4 linked regions of the Schizosaccharomyces pombe genome follow. The gene in region 1 interacts genetically with each later gene. Each region holds a gene or a part of one and is shown on either strand. Other genes may lie near its edges.

Region 1 (6,175 bases):
GGGGATTTTGATGTAATACATGGCTAGCACCCATTCCGGTACGGTGTTCTGCAACCAATTGTCCAGTAGAGACATCTTGGTATTTCAAATAGCCAGCATTGCCAATACTGGTCAATAGTAAGTGATATGGCAAAAAATCTAGAGCATTCACTTCGATATGCCGCTTCAAACAGTGAATTTCTGTTCCCATATTATCGTAAACGTAAACATACTTCTTTTGTGCAACAGCAAAATATTGATGGTTATGAAACCATTTAACATCTCGAACGGTCTCTCTTAAATGTAGCTCTGTGAGTAATTTACCAGTACGCCAGTCAAACGCGGAAATATGACCTTTTCTTCCACCTAATAAAATCATTCTTCCATCTCTTGTATAATCAAATGAGTAACCACCAAACTTATCCAAATCCAAGGAGAAAGACTTTGTAGCCGTCTCAAGTGCAACATTAGGAGCCAGTTGATCTTGACGAAACTTGTATGTCCTTTCAAGGCCCTCGGCTTCCAAAAGACCGGGATTATCTTCATGTAAGATTTCGGTTTTCGCCAAGGAAGACTCAACATTCTCAATTCTCTCCTCGATTTTCTGAATATTGCTTCGAAGCTTTTTATCCTTGATTTTCTTTGGATTCAGCTTGCGCCCTCTAGAATATTTTTTTGTAGAAGCATTAACATCCTCCAAATTCAACTTTTGAGCAGACATAATGCTAACTAAGTAAAGATATTAGTGAGGAAAAAAGATTTTTTTTTCTTTTTAGGCCTGATTATACAAAAAAAATGAAGCAGTTTTCTAATAAACAATTCTTTCCAAAATTTAGGTATCTCCCTTAGTCAAAAAGTTAGAAACCCTTCAATTTTTACACAAATGTATTATGTAAACGAAGTGATAGTTAAAAAATTCAAACACTACGTTCGACTTCGATTCTATGACCCAACAGTAGGTTTAGGTTGAGGGCAGGTGGAATGTAGTTCTAGGAATAGGATTTGTGCGTTCTTATTGTAAAAAATCAGAAACTACTACTAACACAATTAGATACAAACCACAATTATTTACAAATAATACAAGTATAATAAAATAAAATTTCATAAAAATTAAGTATGCAAAATAAAAACAAGAAAATTTTAAAAGTAAACCCGAAACCCAGTAAAAACATTATAAGTTCAGACAATGGCCAATGCCAAAACTGCGAAATGAACCATGAAACGAAAATAGCTCAGGAATTAATTCTCCTGCTTTTTGGTCATGGAAAGAAGCTGGATCGAATTGGATATATCGCTCATCTTCGAACCGCTATTATGAGCACTTCTTAGTACGCTCTGCGTAGTGTTGTAATCATCAATACTCTGTAAAAGGACGTTTTGTTGGTATTTGTTGTTTTTAGAGGAGTTTTTGTTTTGTTTTGAGGATTTCTTAACTCCTTTTGAAGTCTGTTTAGGCTTTTTTGACTGCTTGTTCCTTTTCTGTGCCATTTGGTTGAAGTTAAAAGTTTTATCACGGAGGCGATAATTCATTTTTTCAACAAAATTTTCCTTCTCAAAAGTAAAGATATATTTATTATAAACAAATACACATGCAACATAATACATTTCTCCCTAACGATGCTGTAGAAGAGCAAAAGCAAAATCCATACTATGGAATACTGAGAGCAGTGGAAACCGACTTAAGGCTCGGTCAACGTTGGTGTGAATTAAAGGTACATGTTCTTGATATTGACTTAAAAACAAAAAGGCCTTTACTCTCAGGGATTCCCGTAAATGGACAGCTCAAAGACAAATTGCAATATGTTCTGCCGCTTTACCTCCAAGAGACAATTTCGATCGAGTTTCTGTCCTCTGTTTTCGATTCTATGAAGAAACTGAGCCTTCCACTTGTAAAGGATGCTCGAGGTCTTTCTGGAGATGAGTTTTTCCTATACCTGGGAATCATGTGTTCTGACTCAACGATAGTATATTACAAGATCACCGATGGACTTATAAAACCAAGGCAAAATGATGAAGAATAAACACATGATATATACATATTTATTGATTAGGATTGAAAAACGGAAAGACAACGCTATAATTTTACCACTACCAGATTAATTTTTCACTTCAAGTGTCTCAACGTTTGTAAATGAAAATGCACATATTACAATAACTTTCATAAAACAAATTCGTATGAACAAAAATTTTCTGTAAAGCTCATTCATCAATTAATATCACAAACATGCACATCTTCCTGTGTATGGAATAGTTTCTGGGCAATAATGAACATCATCGTTTAAGAAAAATCCCACTGATTCCATATGATTAGCACGCGCTCTTAAAACACCAAATGCTGCTGAAAGGATATCAGACTCGGCTAAATAAATGTCAGCAAAAAGTACAACGTGAAGCATTTATATTAGAAACAGGTTAAATAAAGTCATTTCCAAAATTGAAGAAGCAATTTACTTACTCCAGCGATGATAATATGTTCCTCCTGAACCAAGCAAGTAATTAATTAGGTTGGTGTAGGTCTGATTATGCCGAATTTGCTTTAGAGATAAAATTTCATTAAAAGGCCAGTATTTACAATAGGTGTAGTTGTTACTATAAACCCAGATATTGCTGAAATCTCCTTGAGTGTTTAAAATTTTGTATTCTTCAATTGCCTCTTCCATAGCATATATACCAGAGTGTTTACGTTCACAGACGTGGTTTGTAAATACAATGTCGCTGTCTTTGAAAGTAGAAAATATATCTCTGAACAAAAATATTAGTTAGGTTTCCTGAAAAAGAAGAACGAAATAAACAAGTTTTACCGAGTTTCTTACTTTTTTTCTTCACAAACCAATTTGAGCCCGGGTTCTATTCTCCAAACATAATCGTATTCCAATTGAGGATGATATAATAAAGATCGAACTACCCAATCTTGAAAACTGTGAAACAAAGGAGAGTATACGTAAGATAGATTCTCTTGAGCAAGTGCATCTGCTCGTTGTTGATAAAGTCGATTGTTTTCAACTAGGGGTTTTACTTGAGAAAGATCCCAATGCACTAAGTAAGAGATAGTTAGAATAAATTGTAAATGATTGGTATAAGTTATTCCCTTCGTACCGTATTCACAATGACCAGACGCAATCGTGCTTGTCGTACTCATAAAGTATTCCGTAAACTCATCCATGCCGTAAAACGTCCAAGGATAATGAAACCTCTTATTAAATCTATCCTCTACGCTACGCATCGTGCGCAACACTTCCCCAAGTTCAGCATTACTAGAAAACAGAATTAGAAAGTACATCTCAAATGGCACCGTACGCGGTAAACATCAGAAAAGAAGCACTCAAATTGGAGCTTTGAGGTTCATTAAGAATCACATATACATTGTTGGGTTCATTTACAGAGAATCCATTCAACCAGGTAAATACAATTGGTAGTATGGAAAGTAAAAGTTCGTAAAACATAATGAAGCTTAAACACGAGCAGAACTTTCCCTGTTATGAGAAGTAACTAGTTCAACTAACGTATGACTCCAAAAGTAACGCATAGAAAGTGGATTTGAAGGAATTTAACTGAAATTGCCTAAGACAATGGTTAAGGGCAAATGTTAATACCCTGCTAGAGATTTGACCTTAGAAAAGAGAGCTCTTTGAGTATAAATATTTATTTTTAGCAAATCAATTTTTGTATACAATGTTTGATGGGTAGATCACTGAAAGAATCTGCTAACGAGCATAATCTTATAAATGACATTTGCATAAGCGTACTGATAGTCGCTATGTCGAGCTGTTATTACTGTTGGAATATTTAAGTTCTATCAAAGGAATTATAAAATTTGCATTCGTCTTTTATAATGGTTTTTAATGTCTATTAAACAATTCATTGTTGCTGATGAATGTAAACAAAAGCAATAAGTTTAAGTATAGGAAAGCTTCAGCTGTTCTAGAATACAAACTCAGTAAAATGTTATAAAATAATATTTCATAAACCCAAGTGGCATATGTATCTTAAGACATTTTCCCAATATCTGCAAACTAATTCACTACTTTCGATCAAATTATATACTGTGGTTGTTCATAATGCACAATCTTATTTTAACGAGCCTTTTTTTTTGCTTTCTGGAAACACCAAAATTCCTAGACTACTAAGGGTAAAACAGTCACTAGGGTTAGGGTTGTAATTTTCAACAAACTATATAAAGTCTCGTTTGCACTTCGTTATAACCTATCATGAATCTGAAGTTACATTGTTCAGATTCTTTCGAGAATCTTGCGTGTAACATGGTTGGCGTGTAGAGGTTGACAAGAGTACAGACAGGGCGGCGATTGTCCTTGCAGTTTCGACTGCAGGTTGAGAGTTGGCGTCTTGCCATGAAAATTGACTAAAGGATGCTGCGTAGCCTAGCCAACAGATTCTAAAACGATTGGAGTGATCCTGATCCTTCTCCTTTGGAGAGGAATTGGTTGATCCTCTGACAACTGTATATTCCTAAATCTTTCGCTACATGATCTCTGGATCCTTGCAGTTGGGTAAAACCATACAGTTGACATTTTTCATTTGGGTAGTTCTTCTTTTATGATAGTTTAATCATGTGTATGAATACGATTAATTATTTTATTACAATTTTACTTTGTCATTTAAAACTGAATTTTTTAAACTTCCAATTCGCTGTTAATGAACAAATAAAAATGGGCGTTGTGATGTTTTGATGAGAAACAGGCTGACCTGTCGATGTAGTTTTCGTTTGTACAGCTTGACCGTTTGAGGTAGGTTGCCAGTATGGTATTTTGTATACTTAAACTGAATTTTTAATGATAATATTCTCGTCATATTTTGAGGTACTTTGTTTTCGTGTATAAGTCCTTGTCAAATTAAATGGACTACAAAGTTTTTAACAATCAGTTTTGTGGGCTGTTTGTAGCAACATCACAAGTGTATTAGCAATAAATGATTTAGAAATGCTACCCTAAGAGAGTATATAAAAAAAACCTTTCGCTCCTTTTCATCGTTTACTAGGTCGTTGAATTGTCAACATTTCAGTCTGATTTGGCAATTACAAGCGAATGATAAAAACCAAAAACTGGTTGCTTGTTCAGCAGTTGTCGACGCCGACGGGAAAGCCTGCTAGCTGAAATAATTGTCAGGATGCTCAATATTAGTAAAGCAATGAGCAAATTAAAAACTATAAGTTTGTATCTATTCCTGTAATTGGGGCTACCGTTTGGACATAGGCCCGGTGCACGCAGTTTTTGAAGACGAGATGAGTTAGGGTGCTCTAATATAATCCTTAATGTGGAAAATAGAGAATCTTCTTCTAACGTAAGTGAGTTGCCGTTTCTGTCACTCACATAGATTACGCCTTTCGAGTGATCTATCACAAACACTGGTGGTGTGATAGAATCTACATAAACAGTATGGTCCAAATTTTCCACAATCCAATCCAACCATAAAGAAGAATCTAACCATAAAAATGAAACTGACTCAGTATAAGTAGGATGTGATATCTTCGAGTACTTAATTCGCTTCACTTTCCTCGCGAACCCTTTCTTTTTAGCTTCAGCTATCGCACTATATTTCTTAATTCTACTCCAAACTATATCATTTCTTTGTCGTTGCATTTGAAATCGAAACCATCTCTTTCCAAGCCGCAACAATTCTTCTTGACTTGAAAAAAACTGTTCAGAATCTGGCTGAAGTAAGGTCAAAACAGTAAGCTTTCGATTCAGCAGACTGTGGCATTTTGTCGGGGTTAGCTCTGTAATAAAAGGGGAGGAAACTATGTTAATCCACTCAGTAATTCGTTTATAATCTCGAAACTCACGGGGTGTAATTGCCTGATAAACTATTGGCATTCCATTGCGAACAGCAATAATGCTAGGCTGAGACTGTGCCCCATATTTATTCGCGAGCGCCTTCGAATTACAAATGTATAATGGAGCAACACCAGCAAGCTGTAATTTCAGACGTTCAATGATACTGAAATCTTCTGAAGTAGTTGCAAAATCGTAAAGCACCAGAAAGAAAACTGGGTGAGAGTTTTCGATTGATTCAATGTCCCCTTCTTCGATCTTTATTGCTTGGTAACTTGCCACTTGGTTTGAATAGGATAGCAGCTGTTGATACTTGAGAGGTCCATTATATTGTATGGAATCGAACCCCTGAAACACCCTGAAGGTAGGAAACTTTTTAATATGGAAATGATTACACATCTCCTTTT
Region 2 (5,010 bases), 1.5 Mb from region 1:
AAATGGGTATGGCAAGATGATGTGTATTGATGTAATCCTTAAGTGCTGGGGTGTACTATATATACAGTGCAAAGGGTATGGGTAAAGTAAATAAACGATTTCTCAATAACAACAAATAAAGCATATTTATTGTTGTTTAATTTTTTTCGTCTTGAAAAAGAAAACAGAATTGGAAAATTGCTAAGGCACCATAAACAGATAAAGTATAACGTTTTAGTTCATACCCACTAGCGTTGGTAACTAAAACTTACACAAATTTTATATTTTTTGCTTTATTTTTTTTATCTTCATATTGTTAACATGGCGTTTCGTGCTGCAAGAATTGCTTTCGCTTGGAAGGCAACCAATCCTGCTAATACAACAATTCGTCAATATATAAAAGAAACACTGGAAGAAGCACCTGAGAAAATCAGTCAAACTGTCAAAAAAGCAACTGGTAAGGCTTCGAAAAAGATAGATGAAAACAAAGATAAGTCACCACAGGAAATGGCTGAGAATGCAAAGCAATCGGTAAAGCAAACTGCCAAGGATGCAAAAGATACCGACTATCAGCAAAAGGCGAAAGATGCTGGTAAGAAAATAAAAGAGGAATTTAGCCAACGGTCGGAAAACGTACTCGAAGAAACTCGTCGTGAGGGGATGAATCGTGATGGTGGTGTTAAAAAGGAATAAAGAGGATTCCTTGTAAATGAATCGAGTTAATGTATTGAGTGGAAGCTTGTATACAAGCTCCTTGATGCTCTTTATGATTTTAAAGATGCTTCACGTTTGAAAACATCGCTTTCTTTTTGGATTTATATGAACGAACAATGCATGATTTACAAAACGAAGCTAGAAGATTGTTAATAAACTAAAAATCATAGTTCAACGGTTCCTGGCTTTTATTTACAAAATAAATTCAATTTTTGATGATAGCAAAAAAAAAAAATTTCATGATTTAAATAAGAATGAGATTATCGCGAGATGTGTTAATTATATTCCGGTTGTATAGTCTGGTATTCGTGGCAGTGATACTGCATATTTTGCATTGCCGATGCTAGCCTTAGTATGGACTTGACTGTATGTAAAAACTTTATGGCCCACATGCTGTCAACAGCTACTATGGTCAAATTTAAATTTTGTTATTCTATAGGCCGGATAGTTGTATAAAGGCATTGTAATGGATAATGGTAATAATACTCATTTTGGTCAAACACATTCATGCCATTCTACTCCAGTAAATTCAATGCCGCTCGTTGTAAGCATAGCGATAAATCCCAAAGGCTGTTCAAAGCAATAATTTCAAATTTGTATTGCAACTTGCCAACATTTTTAAAGTAAATAAATTCCGTTATTGTACAGTGACATTCTCATGTTATATACGCTCTACAGTCAATAACATAATATCATTCACCAACATGATAGTACTCGATTGTATTATATTTTACTAGTCTTGAAGCAAGAATAGCCATAGCCCTTGGGTTTTTGAAGTTGCCAAGATTTCGGCTCAGAATGAAATGCCCAAGCTAAGATTTCCGAAGGTTTTTTCAAATTTTCAATATTTACTGCATTTACTCCCTCCACAAAATCTGGTTTATACGAGAAGATGTGACTGCTAAAATGATCATTATGCTATAAAAAACCCCATTTGTCGTTTACAATGCTTTACATTCGTTTTTATCCACACTATTCACAAGCCTGTGTCACGGTTTATGTAATTGGCTTGGGGAACGTGTTGGAAAGAATAAAACCGCTGTATACTTCATACGGAACGCAATTATTACTTTTCGTTCTGCAATAAATCAGTGGAATATCGTGTTGGTTTTTTTACATATAGTTTTATTTTGATGTATTTAGTAAACACTCTATTTGTTAATTGAATATAAGTTAAATTATTAAAAGATATTTAGTATAAGTACAAATTTTAGTAATTGCATTAAAATGGTTATATTTATCGTGTTTCATTATCTAAACTGCTTTGTATAGGTTTTCGTTTGATTTTTTGTAAATTAATGGTGGTAGTTTTGGCTCCGTAAGGTAGAACGTTTTCTTCAGCTTCATCCAATTCACGTAACCCACTAGTTACCTGCAACACCATATCACTAGAAAACGTGGCCGAAACTTCTCTTTTTCCATTTGTATATATAAATGCATTTTTAATTTCTTTATCTTTTTATTGTCTGCACAATAAAGCGTTCATTCTTTCCGTTTTTTTTGAAAACTATTTTTCGTCATGACTCTTTCCTCTAACCAGTATCAGTACGTTCAGCGTTATTTCGTTTATGTCTCTTTCTAACTTCTGTTTATTAGATTGCCTCTTAATGTCCGCCCGTATACAACGACTTGGTGTTCCCAGTCTCCTTCCTGTTCAAATCTTCTTGCCATAGGTATGTAAGATATCTGAATGTTACGACGAATGGTAATTTACGTATTACTCATTTCTTCTTTTCTGTTTTCCTAAGTTACAATATTTGAGAAAACCTCAGTGCTAATGAAACAATTATCTTCAAATAGCATTCCTCTAAACGTTTTAAACTAATGATTAACCTTATACAGGCCATGATACGGGTATCACTATTTATTGTGCTTCAGAAGAACAGACGCCCGGATCTACAGGTTTGACATTACAAGAGTTGTTCACTATTCAAACTGGGTTACCCACTTTGCATCTTTCTTTTTCATCTAGCTGTAGTTATTCTGAGAATTTGCATGATGGCGATGGAAATGTGAATTCCTCACCTGTGTATTCTTTGTTTCTTGCATGTGTGTGTCAGGATAATACAGTTCGTCTAATAATTACAAAGAATGAAACCATTATTACTCAACATGTGTTGGGCGGAAAATCTGGGCATCATAATTTTGTGAATGATATCGATATTGCAGACGTCTATTCCGCTGATAATCGTCTCGCTGAGCAGGTGATAGCATCTGTGGGCGACGATTGTACGTTGATTATATGGAGACTGACTGATGAAGGGCCTATTTTAGCTGGATACCCATTGTCTTCCCCTGGTATTAGTGTCCAATTTCGCCCATCTAATCCTAATCAATTGATTGTTGGAGAAAGGAATGGTAATATTAGGATTTTTGACTGGACTTTGAATTTATCAGCTGAAGAAAATTCTCAAACCGAGTTGGTTAAAAATCCATGGCTTTTGACTTTGAATACCCTGCCACTCGTTAACACCTGTCATAGTAGCGGCATTGCTTCCTCTTTAGCTAACGTTCGATGGATCGGAAGTGATGGAAGCGGTATACTTGCAATGTGTAAAAGTGGGGCTTGGCTTCGTTGGAATCTTTTTGCTAATAACGATTACAATGAAATCTCGGATTCCACTATGAAATTGGGACCCAAAAATCTACTGCCCAACGTGCAAGGCATTTCATTGTTCCCATCCTTGCTTGGTGCTTGCCCACATCCCCGTTACATGGATTACTTTGCTACGGCACATTCTCAGCACGGCTTAATACAGCTCATTAATACATATGAAAAGGACTCGAATTCAATTCCTATTCAATTAGGTATGCCCATCGTTGACTTTTGCTGGCACCAAGATGGATCACATCTTGCTATAGCTACGGAAGGATCTGTTTTGCTTACCAGATTGATGGGGTTTACGAGATTATGAGGGTATAGAACAATATACTTAACATCGAACTAAAATAAACGGGTTCAGGAGAGGAAATTGTATTGAATAAATATTAATGTTCATAGTTAAACCAAAAAGTAGTATTTGCTATGTATTAACATCGTGTAAACGCTGTTACTTTTAAAAATTTTAAATGGATGTGTTGCTTTCGTAAACAATTCGCCTTGGTTCAAATATCGCCTTTGATATTTCAACTTCCAATAACCGATATGCGATTTGAATTGAATCTTCTAAATGTTCGTTACAATGATAAAACCCATTATTTTTGAGCATAATATTTTTCCAGAATCATGGATGCCAGTTTTTCGAAAGATGGATTGTGTAGCCGCTGTTGCTGAATAGCATCTAAGGTTTTCAGAGGAACAGAACCCTCTTCCTCACGGTCAAGGTTCACTAATTCTTTCATTATATGTAAAAGCTCGGCATTACTTTCAATTAAATTTTTTATGCTAGGATCTTCGACAATAGATTCCAAAAGACTTTCACTTGGCAATGCCTCTTCTGCTAAACTTGGGATTCTTCCATTAACGTAGATAACATTAGGAGAAGGTTCTGGGGGGTTTAAAGGTTCTTTAACTCCTTTGAATGTTGTTGTGTTATTGTCATTTACAGTCTCACATTGACTTTGGTGGATTTTCCAGCAAGGTAATGAACAACTATTAATTCTATATTAGTATTTTTAGGAAACAGAAAAAAAGAATAAAGCATTGGTTCATGGGTTAATGTGTATTGAAACAAAATGCATTGTTCTGAGCTTACAAGCACATACTAAGGAAATGAACACTTCGGGCATTTATATTTTATTTCTGATTCGTTGCATATTGAACAAGTTGTCATGATAGCGTTTAAATTTTTCTAATGTATTAGAGGAGAAACCTTTTTTTTTAGACAAGCTCAAACAAAATAAGATTAAAGGGAGAAGAGCAATAGAGTAACGTCAAACCTTGCTAGTTCAAAATACAGTTAACACTGAATAAAAAGGCTCTGGTTTTTCCCTCTTTTGTGATATGTTCGAAAGCTATGGTAAACAGTAAAATAATATTTTTTTGAATATTCTCAATATAAACTATCTCTGCATCTCTAGCGAGTACATTTTTTTAGATTAGCATGGTGGATTTACTTATCGTTACCCCTCACTATATAAAGCTTTTTAATGATTTTCTGGTTACGAATTTTAGTGACTTAGTCGTAAATAGTTTAAGCTTTTTAAAAAAAGTACTTATTTAAAGGAAATAAATTATGAATCTTTCTTTGGGAAGGATCAAAGCGCTGTTGTAAAGTATCCTCAGTTTCCAATTTTTTGTTTATAGCCCTCCCTAACGATCTTAAATGATAAGCAACGTGTTTGAATCACAACCTTTCATTTTTTAATATAAAAGGA
Region 3 (5,066 bases), on another chromosome or scaffold:
CTTCTGGCTATCATCTCTTAATGGGCGCTCCTGGTCTTACTTGTGGGATATTGGAAATATTCATCAGTGGCAAATTTTCCTTTTAATTGTAGCTTTCTATATCGTCCTTTGGGCCTTACTACTTGGAGTCCTGGCTTGGATATCTCGAACTCACTCCTGGATTATCTGCGTTTTTGGTGTCGGATTGGGTGCTCCTAGATGGTTGCAACAATTTTGGGCTACTTCAAATATTGGCTTGTACCTACCGTGGGCAGGTTATTCCGGTCCTTATCTTGGTCGTACACTATGGCTATGGTTGGGGGTGTTAGATGCTATTCAAAGTGTTGGAATCGGTATGATATTGCTGCAAACATTAACTCGTCGTCACGTAGCAAGTACGCTTATGACTGGACAGATAGTTGGTGCCGTTGCTACAATGATCGGACGTGGTGCATCACCCAACCGTGAGGGACCTGCTAATGTATTTATTGACTTTACTAAATGGAATCATGGTGATGGCTCTTCAATCTTAGCAAGCGCACCTTTTTGGATTAATATTATTTGTCAACTTGCTATTTGCGTAGGTTATTTGGCCTTCTTCCGTCGTGAAAACCTTAGTCGTCCTTAGTTTTCTAGTCTTAGTCTTACAAAGCGAAATTTTAATTGAAGTTCACGAAATCGGAGCATGTACAGTTACTGTGATGTTTTAAACAAAATATCCTCCAAGCTCGGTCTTGTTGAGCATCAGGTCTTTTAAATGAATACTTCAAGTTATGTTTCATTATATTCTATATCCACCTTATTTAACTTCCTCATATCCTTGTTACTATTCTTATCTAGTTTCCGTTGGCATTTGGCTTTGCTGACGAGAATGTGTTATATCTAAGCTTTATTTAAGGGAATATCACTTGGTCATACATAAATTGCATTATAAATTTCAATTAGCATAGTATCTACATTTTATGATAAGTGTTACATGTTTCCATTAAAACAAAATTAAATCTATCCGCCCTTTGTATGCTTACCGATTTCTTTCATACAATTAGATTTTTTGTAATACTAGTATATTAGAGGAGCTAGTTTTCATTGCTGTCTGTGGATGATCCCTCAACATATACGGCTTTATATACCTCTTATAGAATACGAATGACAAATAGAATATTTCAGTTTATCATGTAACAATGCTATTAAAAACATAAGTTGCCGTTATTTAAAAGAGCATGGCGAGACAAGATAGTACCACCACCGATTTACTTTCACCAACTATTGTAAACTAAGAAGTCAAATTTTGGTGGAATACAATTAGCAAATGTCACGGGAAATGGATCTATTGTTTAAGAACGAAATGACTATTTCGCATCAGAAAATAGTAATGATGCTATTCATAAAACCGTATGCAGATGTGAATATAAAAAAGTAGTCTATGGCTGTTAAATTCTTAAGATGCGAAAGGTAATAATTCTTTTCTAATTACTCATTCCTCTCTAATGTATACACCAACAACAACAAAAGAATTGTTTTATAGCTGTAGACAATGCGACGAACAATTTGTTAAATATGGAAAACCAGGACAGCTTCATCAGAAATTAGGTTAAAGATCTGTAAAAAGCTTATTTATGCTTATTGCACCAAAAAATATATAAATGAAAACATAAACAGCGGCTGTTAAAAGCCTATTAATTAAATACCAAGTTTCAAATGAAGACACATTGCTCAGCTATCTTCGTCTTCTCTATAATTATAGATGTGCTTTTCGCGATGCCCAGACCTCGCAACATTTCCAAAATTTTTAGGGTTTGTCCTTCCAGGAAAATCTTCAGTGCTTTTAAATATACTAGATTCTCCAATCTTCTTTCGTTTGCCAACGCGTCCAGTTTTTACACCTCGAGCAGCAAACTGTTTCCAAGAATTTTGTGATGCTTCAAGTGCTGCTTTAGGTTTTAGTTGTTTTTGCTGCTTTTGGGAGTATGAAACACTAGGAACAGGTGGAGGGTTAGAGGGAGGAATGGGAGAGATCTTTGGTAGGGTTGAAACATGCTGAGCGACATTTTGGATCGGAGATACGTTAGCCGTTACAGCCGCCGAACTCTTCATATCTGGAGAAGAGGCACGAGACGCATAATTGGAAGGACTTGTAGACATAGATGCTACAGATATTGCTTTTGTAGGCTCTCTAACAGGTGTACTACGTATAGTGGTAGATTTTTTGAGAATTTCTTTATTTCCTTCTATTTCCTGACGTTTTTCCTCAGGCATGGCCTTAATATGTTTGAGGGAAACAGTTTCAATGTCAGGATAGTCAAGAAATTGTACTGTGTACTTTTTGTTTGCACCGAAGCCTGAAACAGCAGTAATACGTGAAGGATAAAATAAATAATCTCCTGAAACCCATCGGGCCATTACTAAATTTCCAGGCGTAAAGTCGATATGTACTGGCTTTGAAGTATTGAAACCTGCAACACCATTTTGGGAATTTTGAAACGTATTTTTATCATTTTCTACACTTTCTTGTAGTAAGTTTTCAGTAAGGCTAATTAATTCCTTTAAATCATTTTCCAGTAACTGTAATTCCTCGTTTTGGGGAGTCTTCTGAAGAGAAATTTGAACGAGAGCAAGCTGGCTCTTGTATTCCTCTAATTCCTTCTCCATACGATTACTTTTATAGATTTAATAGATTTTTTTTTCAAACAGTAAAAATTTCCAAGTGTAATGGCTTTATCGCCAAAACCGGTTGTAAGTGTAGATAATATGTGAAGCAGGCGCTCAGTGAAGTGCCTGAAAATTAAGCTCAGCTATTACACTAGGGTGAAGAAAACAATATTGGAGTGAGATTAAATTTATACTAAAAGCACTAATTCTTTAACTCAATATACTAAGACATTATTGATAATAGTTAAAACAAAGAAGAATATTTGATATTTCTATATTCAGTATAATCAAGACGTAAAAGAAAGTATTCTATCAAAAATTTCATGCTCTCGAAAACTATGGATGGGTAAAAAGAACTGGATAATCAAGTATTTTCGAGGTTCGTTTATGGCGTGCATGATATCGATTAAAGGCATTGAACGTTTAATGCCGCATAATGGAGGATAAATTATTAATCCAGAAGACAATATGTTTCCGAACTCCAAGCATTCCTTCTTTATATGAATTTATTATTTTCTAGGTCAGCTAGAAGCAATGGCATTAGGAGGTACTATAATTTAACGATTTCACTCGTATATCTTTAAAATTTTGGAGTAAATGAAATTCTTACAAAACAGTTTTACTAGGACCATAAGATCGATCCATAAAGACCTTCGAGACTTCCCAGGCAAGCCAATCGCTGGTAGTCGTTGGCAATAATCCCATTCTTTGCAGCTTATAGACTCCAATCCCCATAAGCAATAATTGGAATAAAATATAAGCACCCATAGCGGGCCAAAGGGTTCCTGGGTGGGTGCCTTTAAATGGGGTGAAGGCAGATCCTGTAGATGTTATTGCTTTCAGTGGATTTACAAGCAACATAAGAGTCGTCATAATACTGAAAATTTGTAGTGAATTACCAGACATGTATGCTAAAATAGCGTTCATAGGAATTTGTTTAAGGGGGGAATATGCAAGCTCCCATGCTTTCTTTAGTAAGAGATCCTTTTGTAATTCTTCCTCTCGTTTAGCAAATATGGAAGTTGAGGAAGCTGAATTTCCTGAATGAATGTTTTTGGAAACCAACGACTTCTGTTGAAATCCTCGAGGCGTAGGGAACTTGTCAGAATTGTCAACGATCTTTTTGGGCTTCTTTGCTAACGCTGGTTTGACCAAATCGATCCAATCTGTTTCTTCGTTAATGTGCATCTTGAAAGGGAAAAAAGAGAAATTTAAAGTTGCGACTAAATTTTTGGACTCGTAAACCAAGGAATAAATTTAGTCAATGAATGAAAAGCCTGATTGCAGCTAACCTACAGTCAAAAAGTATTGGTAGCACCTCAATTATGTTTCTAAAATACGAAGACCAGCCTTATTTGATGTTTCTGAAACAAGATATTTCACCAGAAGTCAATCTCAGTTTTTCGTTATTTGATGTAAGTTGGGTGGTAGAACAATCTTTTCAAGCAAATTAATAACTTTGGTTGAAGTTAAAAATTTTCTGGTCTAAATAATTTGAGAACACGCCTCAAAATATAATATTTCAAAATAAACAATATAGTGGAGGTGGCAGATGCTAAGGAACGAAACTGGTGGTAATAGTGAAAAGCCCATCAGCTAATGAATCCCAAAAATACAAGCGCAAACAATGGCAAAAAGAAAGCCATCCTGTTATAAAAGTTCAAGATTAACTTGCTTTTGTGCTTTCTTTGGTTTTCTACTGTCTCATGGCCCGGATATGAATATGTACAACGCTTAAACATCTAATGTTAATGATTTCTTGTTAATTATCAAACCCAACGATCATTATTGATTACAGCTGGAATTAGTTTTGGTTTCTTTTATGGATATAGGATCTTGATCTTGAAAAAGTTCTGACTCTTTATCTTACAATGGTAATACCATGCTCAATGATTGATATTTTTACACTGAGATGTTTTCAAATATTCAATGGATAAAGAACATATCGTTTTGTAACTTTTTAAGCATAATCTCGTTAGCCAAGCTATTACATAAACAAAGATCGGATACAGTATGAAAGTACTCATGGTGTAAATATTTAGGAAGACGTGTTTTGGAGGGCACTCTTTGTGAGAATTTTTTTCTTATTCTAGAATATGAGTTTTAACATATTGCCGCAAGCCCAAAATTGAGTTGTACGACTCAATATACTCTGCCTAAAAAGTAAGTGCATTTTCGAAGCATAAAGAAAAAAAATGAACATTACTGGAAATTTATTTTGAAATAATCGCTTTTTAATCGTGTAATGTATTGTTATTGATTACCTTACCGATACTGATAATGCTTGCTTTTCTCCTGTTTCGAGTTTCCGTTCAAAAGACTTCTTGTTTATGATATATGACTGCGCATAAGAAGTGATAATTGTCCTTGTATATTAATATTGCCTGAAATAACTTGTAAGACCGAGCGTCTAATTTTTAAAAATATATAATATCAAG
Region 4 (4,838 bases), on another chromosome or scaffold:
CTGAAGGTGATATTGTCCAAAATGAAGAGGAAAAAGAAAGCGTTGAGGTTGAAGAAGGAAAACATAAAAATGACTTGCCAAAGGTATCACCTAAACCCCCAACTGAGGGTGTGGACAGTGAAGTAAACGGTGAATCTTTGGTTCAGGTTAATAAGGTTCTCAAATCAGAAGATGATAATACATCTGAAGCTTCAAAGGACCCATCTTCACATGTGAAATCTCCCGAAAATATTGAAAAACTAAAACAAAATGATGATCACTTTGAGGTCACAGAAGAAATTACTTCCACCATAAATTCTAAAATATCTGAAAAGCAAGAGAATAATGTTGCTGAAACTATATTGGAAGTAACATCTAGTCCAAAATCTTCTGAAAATAGTCAAAAGCAGTCAGAGATTACTAAAAAGCGAGGACGGGATGAGGAAGATGAACCTTCTGACCTTCATTCAAGCCCTAAAAGGCCAAAAACTGGAGAGGATGGAGAAATTGTATTATAATCATTAAATCAATTACACATATGTGATAAGTGCTTAGTTATGATTGAGTCAGAAAATGTATATATAGTTAATGTTTTGATCTAGCGTGTTTTTGTATGCGCTTATATAAAATAAAATTACATCCTTTTAGTAGAGCTACTGTAAAGATGAATTTCATTGTTTATTGATGGGTAAATTACGCTTATTTACTAAACTGCACACATTTTTTGACAGTTGAATACGTTCACATGTTCAATATGAAAACATTCTAAAGTCAAATTTTTTATTTTTCAACAAATGCAACAATAAAAGCGGGTTATAAGTACAGAACTTTTCCAATATCGATGGATCAGATTTGAAACAGACTTATACAATTTGACAACAACGTTGAATTGTAAAATATGTTTTTGCGTATTTAAACTCCATCCTATCAATTCAATACTAAGTCATAACTTGCTTTACCATACCACATAACACAGAAAAATTGATGCACTATGACAACTGAGACTTCGTAAAATAAATAGCTGAAAACTCTGCAATTGCAGAAAATATTCAAAAAAATTATATCAAATGAGTTAATGATTTGAAACACTGTCTTCGTATTTGAAGAATCCAATTAATTAGTTCCGCATGCATTATATCTTTTTCAATAAAAAGAATTCATCCTAATAACAGCGTACTAAAACTGCCGTAAACAGAATAATTATTTTTTTCACAAAATCACATGATATAGAAACTCATTAAGATAAATTTTTATTTTTTTTGTCTGAGATACTTGGCAAAGGACCATGTCTCTTTTCCCAACATTTCCTGAATTCTTCCATCTAAAAATATCAGAATTAGCTAAATTTTTTAAAGACATATAATTACCTGTTCTGTACATTTCCTCCAATCATGAGTATCCCAATAGCAATCATTCAGTCGAAGGTGCTCTTCTACACATCCACCTTTTTCAAGAGCAGTGTCCCATACATCTTTTTCCTCTTCTTCTCCGTCAGGAGTTTTTTCAATACTATCCATTCAGAAAAAATAAATTGATGCTTTATAATGTAAAAAATATGCAAAACCCAAAGTGTTTTGCTGAGTAAGGTAAAGCAGCAGATATTTGATTATTTAAGGAGAATGACCGAGAGACGACAGAAAAGGTGCAAAGACAAATAAACAAGAAAATACAGAATAAAGCTTGTCAGTATTAGAGAAAATAAGTTAATAGCTACTACAAAGGTTTTAAATGACCAACTGACTTCACCGCGGAATTTGAGATCGGTAACGGGGTTGATTGGGGTCAATGGGTATAGCAACTGCAGGGCTTTTAGTATTTTCATGATCTTCATTTTCAATGTTTTTAATCGTAGATTTTTGGGAGGTTTTATTTCCATGGGATGAACCTCGCATCACAAGGTCTGCCAACTTTGCGTTTCGTACTTCACCCTCAGGTCCTCCAAGAGAACGAGGTTTTCCCCATTGAACTTTCAGTCGAAACCCCTCTATAACAACATTTCCATCGGGAGATGCCGCCGCCGCAATCTCAGCACTAGAACGAGTTTTAAAGTTTACGAATGCGCATTTTGCTCGATGAGAACACACAACTGATTTAAGAGGCCCATATTGTTCAAAATGTTTACGAATTTTATAGTCAGCTAGTTCATCTTCGACGCCAATAAGGAAAAGGGATGCCTAAATGTTAGCACAATACAATGCGCCATCAAGCTTAAATTACTTTTAAGTCGCACTTACGATTTTTTTATCTTTAGGAGGTTCCATATTAATAGACAAGGAAACATTCCCATTAATAATTTTTTTAACCGGAAATAATGGGCGTTCTGCATTTAAAGATGCATCAGATGCTCGAGCCTCCTTTAATATTTGCTTAGACTCAACATCATCTAATTTTCGCTTAGGAGGTCTTGAATGTAATTCTCGTTTTTCTACCTTTTTAACAAGATTTCTTGCAGCGGCGCTTGCTTCCTGGCTATCGTAGGCCGTTTCGCCATTACTTAACAGGCGTTGTTGATTTTGAGCAAAGAATTCGCGATTAATATCGTTAGTGGGACCGCTTTCGACCAGTTTTAGGGCTGCATCCCTCAGGGCAATCTTCATGGAACGTTAGCTGACTATTATAGTTGAATGAAATATTGAACTTACCGGTAAACCAAATTGCAAATCAAGCATGCAACTCTGACAGCAGTTCTTATATCTGGCGCAACCAACACAAATTTGAGTTTTTCCAGGCTTTTGGCCGCGTTCTTTTATCCACCGAAAGATTGTACAAGGTTTTGAGCAAATTTTACATTCTTGTCCAAGTGGCTCCTTAGTCATACGAACATATGAATTGTCGCCCAAACAACGTTCACAGATGCTTGGAAATTCAACATCCTCCCATTCTTGTTTATTTATATCACCTTTTGGTCCATGAGACATATTAGAAACGCAATTCTCTTGCAATGCTAATCTTTGTAAATATGTGGTGGTGTTAAACTTTGCAAGGTGGAATACGAAGACTTTTAAGACAAATAAAATTCGTGAAAAACACATAAAATTTCATATGAATATCATTTAAATCTACAAATATATATAACTATTAAATTCACATATACAGTGAAGGGCAGAAGACTATGTTTCTGCGAATTAGATTTTGACACTCTTCCATCTTCGTATACATGGAAGAATCGCCGACGACACGGGCTGCTCCTCTGCATTCACGTAGAACTTCATCAAGTCTTATAATTGTTCTTACAATCGATCCTTCTAAAACGTCTGTTAAGTCTGTGATACGGTTGAAAGACATCCCTCTAGCCCACTCGTAGCAAACCTCCATTAAACCAAATCGTGGTTGTGATTCAAAATCATTACCTTCATTAAAATACAATACCTGATAGTGCTCTTGAATTTGATTAACTTTCTCGGCCACTGATAGTATCATTTCCTTTCCTTTTTGTAAATGAGGAGAAATTGTGGGTTCAACCTCCGTTTTCTCATCGAAAACAAATGCAGACAACAATGCTATTGTCTCTTCACAAGAAAAGTCCGCCAAACTGTTTTCCAAAATCAACTCTGTTAATACCAATTCACTGGTGGAATTAATTTCACATGCGACTCTTCCCTTTAGTAAAACAGTTCGCTCTGCGTCAATATATCCTAGTTCTTGCAATACTTTTATCCGTTGTTCGTAATCAGGCAGTAACTCTAGGTTTTGATCGGAAATATAGGAAGATAAGTTATCGATATTGCTTTCCAATTCATACTCTTGGTAAGCTAAGGCGAAATGAGTAAGAAAGTTTGGAGTCGAGATAATTGGATTTCCGGATAACTTGTTCTGAAGAAAATTTCGTTTTTCGAAAGCTTCACAAAATTCAAAGTCTCTGACTTTACTCCAATTAACTTCTTCAAAAAGCAGGTCGGAAAACTTTTTAATTGATGCAAATTGTTCACTAAGTTTTCGAAAAGCCCCCCCTCGACGGTCTCTAATTCCACCAGAATCAATTCGAAGGATCGTATTGCAGACTCTTTCAATACCGGAAAGATTGATAAGGCCATACTTGAATTGGTTTGATTCATCAAAGATAGCGTTATCATAAACATCATTGAACGCGTCAGCAAAAGCAAGTAAATCCGATGGTCGTTTGAGGTTGTTCTGTGGATTTAAATATGCAACTTCCAGTGTACAGTCTGAAGCATTGGTTCTAATGGATGTTCCGAGTAGAACTCCAACAGTGCGAGTAAAATCAAGTTGTTGAAAAACAATGACTCTTCCATCTTTAAATATTCTTTTGCCATTTGCAGTAGTTATTGCTCGGAAGTGCATTTTTTTGGTATACTCTTTAAAAGATTCACTGCTCAATAAACAACTTTTAATTTCTTTCAAATCAACATCAGACATTTCCTTCTTTAAAGCCGACAACTTTTCTTCAAAGCTTTTTATTTTTTCCTCGTGCTGAGGCACCAATGTTTGGTTAACGTTTTCACTAAAGCTGCGTTTAATCATGTCTTCAATTCTAAGCGTCTCTACACGTAGGAGGTTAAGTATCATATTATATGTTAAGCGAAATTGACTTATAAGCTTAGACGAAGGCCCCATAATCATGTGTCTCAACGAAGCTGTGTCAGGAAGTTCTGAACGCGATAATATAATAACTGTACCAGTGACATCAAGACCACGGCGTCCAGCGCGTCCAGAGCATTGTGTATACTCTCCGGGAAGAAGATCACGGAAGTTCCGTCCATCATGCTTTTGTGTACCGGAAAAAACCACCGATTTTGCAGGCATATTTACACCCATTGCAAAGGTCTCAGTAGCAAACAGAACCTTCACCAACCCTCTTTGAAAAAGGATTTCTACTATTTCCTTGATGATGGGTAACA

The links.
Region 2: mutations in omh6 (region 1) and nup37 together harm fitness less than expected from each alone (positive genetic interaction), as found in Schizosaccharomyces pombe (one large-scale study listed by BioGRID).
Region 3: mutations in omh6 (region 1) and spf30 together harm fitness less than expected from each alone (positive genetic interaction), as found in Schizosaccharomyces pombe (one large-scale study listed by BioGRID).
Region 4: mutations in omh6 (region 1) and cwf5 together harm fitness less than expected from each alone (positive genetic interaction), as found in Schizosaccharomyces pombe (one large-scale study listed by BioGRID).

What each region holds. Positions count from the first base shown.
Region 1 is NC_003424.3:3,390,691-3,396,865, forward strand, and holds omh6 (alpha-1,2-mannosyltransferase Omh6), read right to left. Parts: upstream 3,555-6,175; 5' UTR 3,260-3,554; coding exon 2,793-3,259; exon of another isoform or gene 2,722-2,792; coding exon 2,435-2,721; intron 2,417-2,434; exon of another isoform or gene 2,339-2,416; coding exon 2,196-2,338; 3' UTR 2,001-2,195; coding exon of another isoform or gene 1,219-2,000; 3' UTR 1,060-1,218; downstream 1-1,059. Other genes in the region: U3 snoRNP-associated protein Utp7, read right to left, coding at 1-700; SPOM_SPAC959.11 (uncharacterized protein), read right to left, coding at 1,219-1,584; tRNA-splicing endonuclease subunit Sen15, read left to right, coding at 1,569-2,000; pdi4 (protein disulfide isomerase), read right to left, coding at 4,995-6,175. UniProt on the Schizosaccharomyces pombe protein: Probable mannosyltransferase involved in O-glycosylation of cell wall and secreted proteins.
Region 2 is NC_003424.3:4,868,288-4,873,297, forward strand, and holds nup37 (nucleoporin), read left to right. Parts: upstream 1-2,056; 5' UTR 2,057-2,212; coding exon 2,213-2,238; exon of another isoform or gene 2,239-2,289; coding exon 2,290-2,366; exon of another isoform or gene 2,367-2,439; intron 2,440-2,535; coding exon 2,536-3,608; 3' UTR 3,609-3,739; downstream 3,740-5,010. Other genes in the region: SPOM_SPAC4F10.17 (uncharacterized protein), read left to right, coding at 301-672; hit1 (HIT zinc finger domain-containing protein), read right to left, coding at 3,889-4,285, 4,399-4,466.
Region 3 is NC_003421.2:1,380,798-1,385,863, forward strand, and holds spf30 (splicing factor Spf30), read right to left. Parts: upstream 2,748-5,066; 5' UTR 2,629-2,747; coding exon 1,693-2,628; 3' UTR 1,258-1,692; downstream 1-1,257. Other genes in the region: cell wall alpha-1,3-glucan synthase Ags1, read left to right, coding at 1-607; chaperone EMC4, read right to left, coding at 3,235-3,816. UniProt on the Schizosaccharomyces pombe protein: Involved in spliceosome assembly.
Region 4 is NC_003421.2:1,184,672-1,189,509, forward strand, and holds cwf5 (Prp19 complex subunit, RNA-binding Cwf5), read right to left. Parts: upstream 2,952-4,838; 5' UTR 2,898-2,951; coding exon 2,622-2,897; intron 2,571-2,621; coding exon 2,214-2,570; intron 2,154-2,213; coding exon 1,722-2,153; downstream 1-1,721. Other genes in the region: THO complex subunit Tho1, read left to right, coding at 1-497; coa4 (respiratory chain complex assembly protein), read right to left, coding at 1,217-1,300, 1,347-1,496; Ski complex RNA helicase Ski2, read right to left, coding at 3,064-4,838.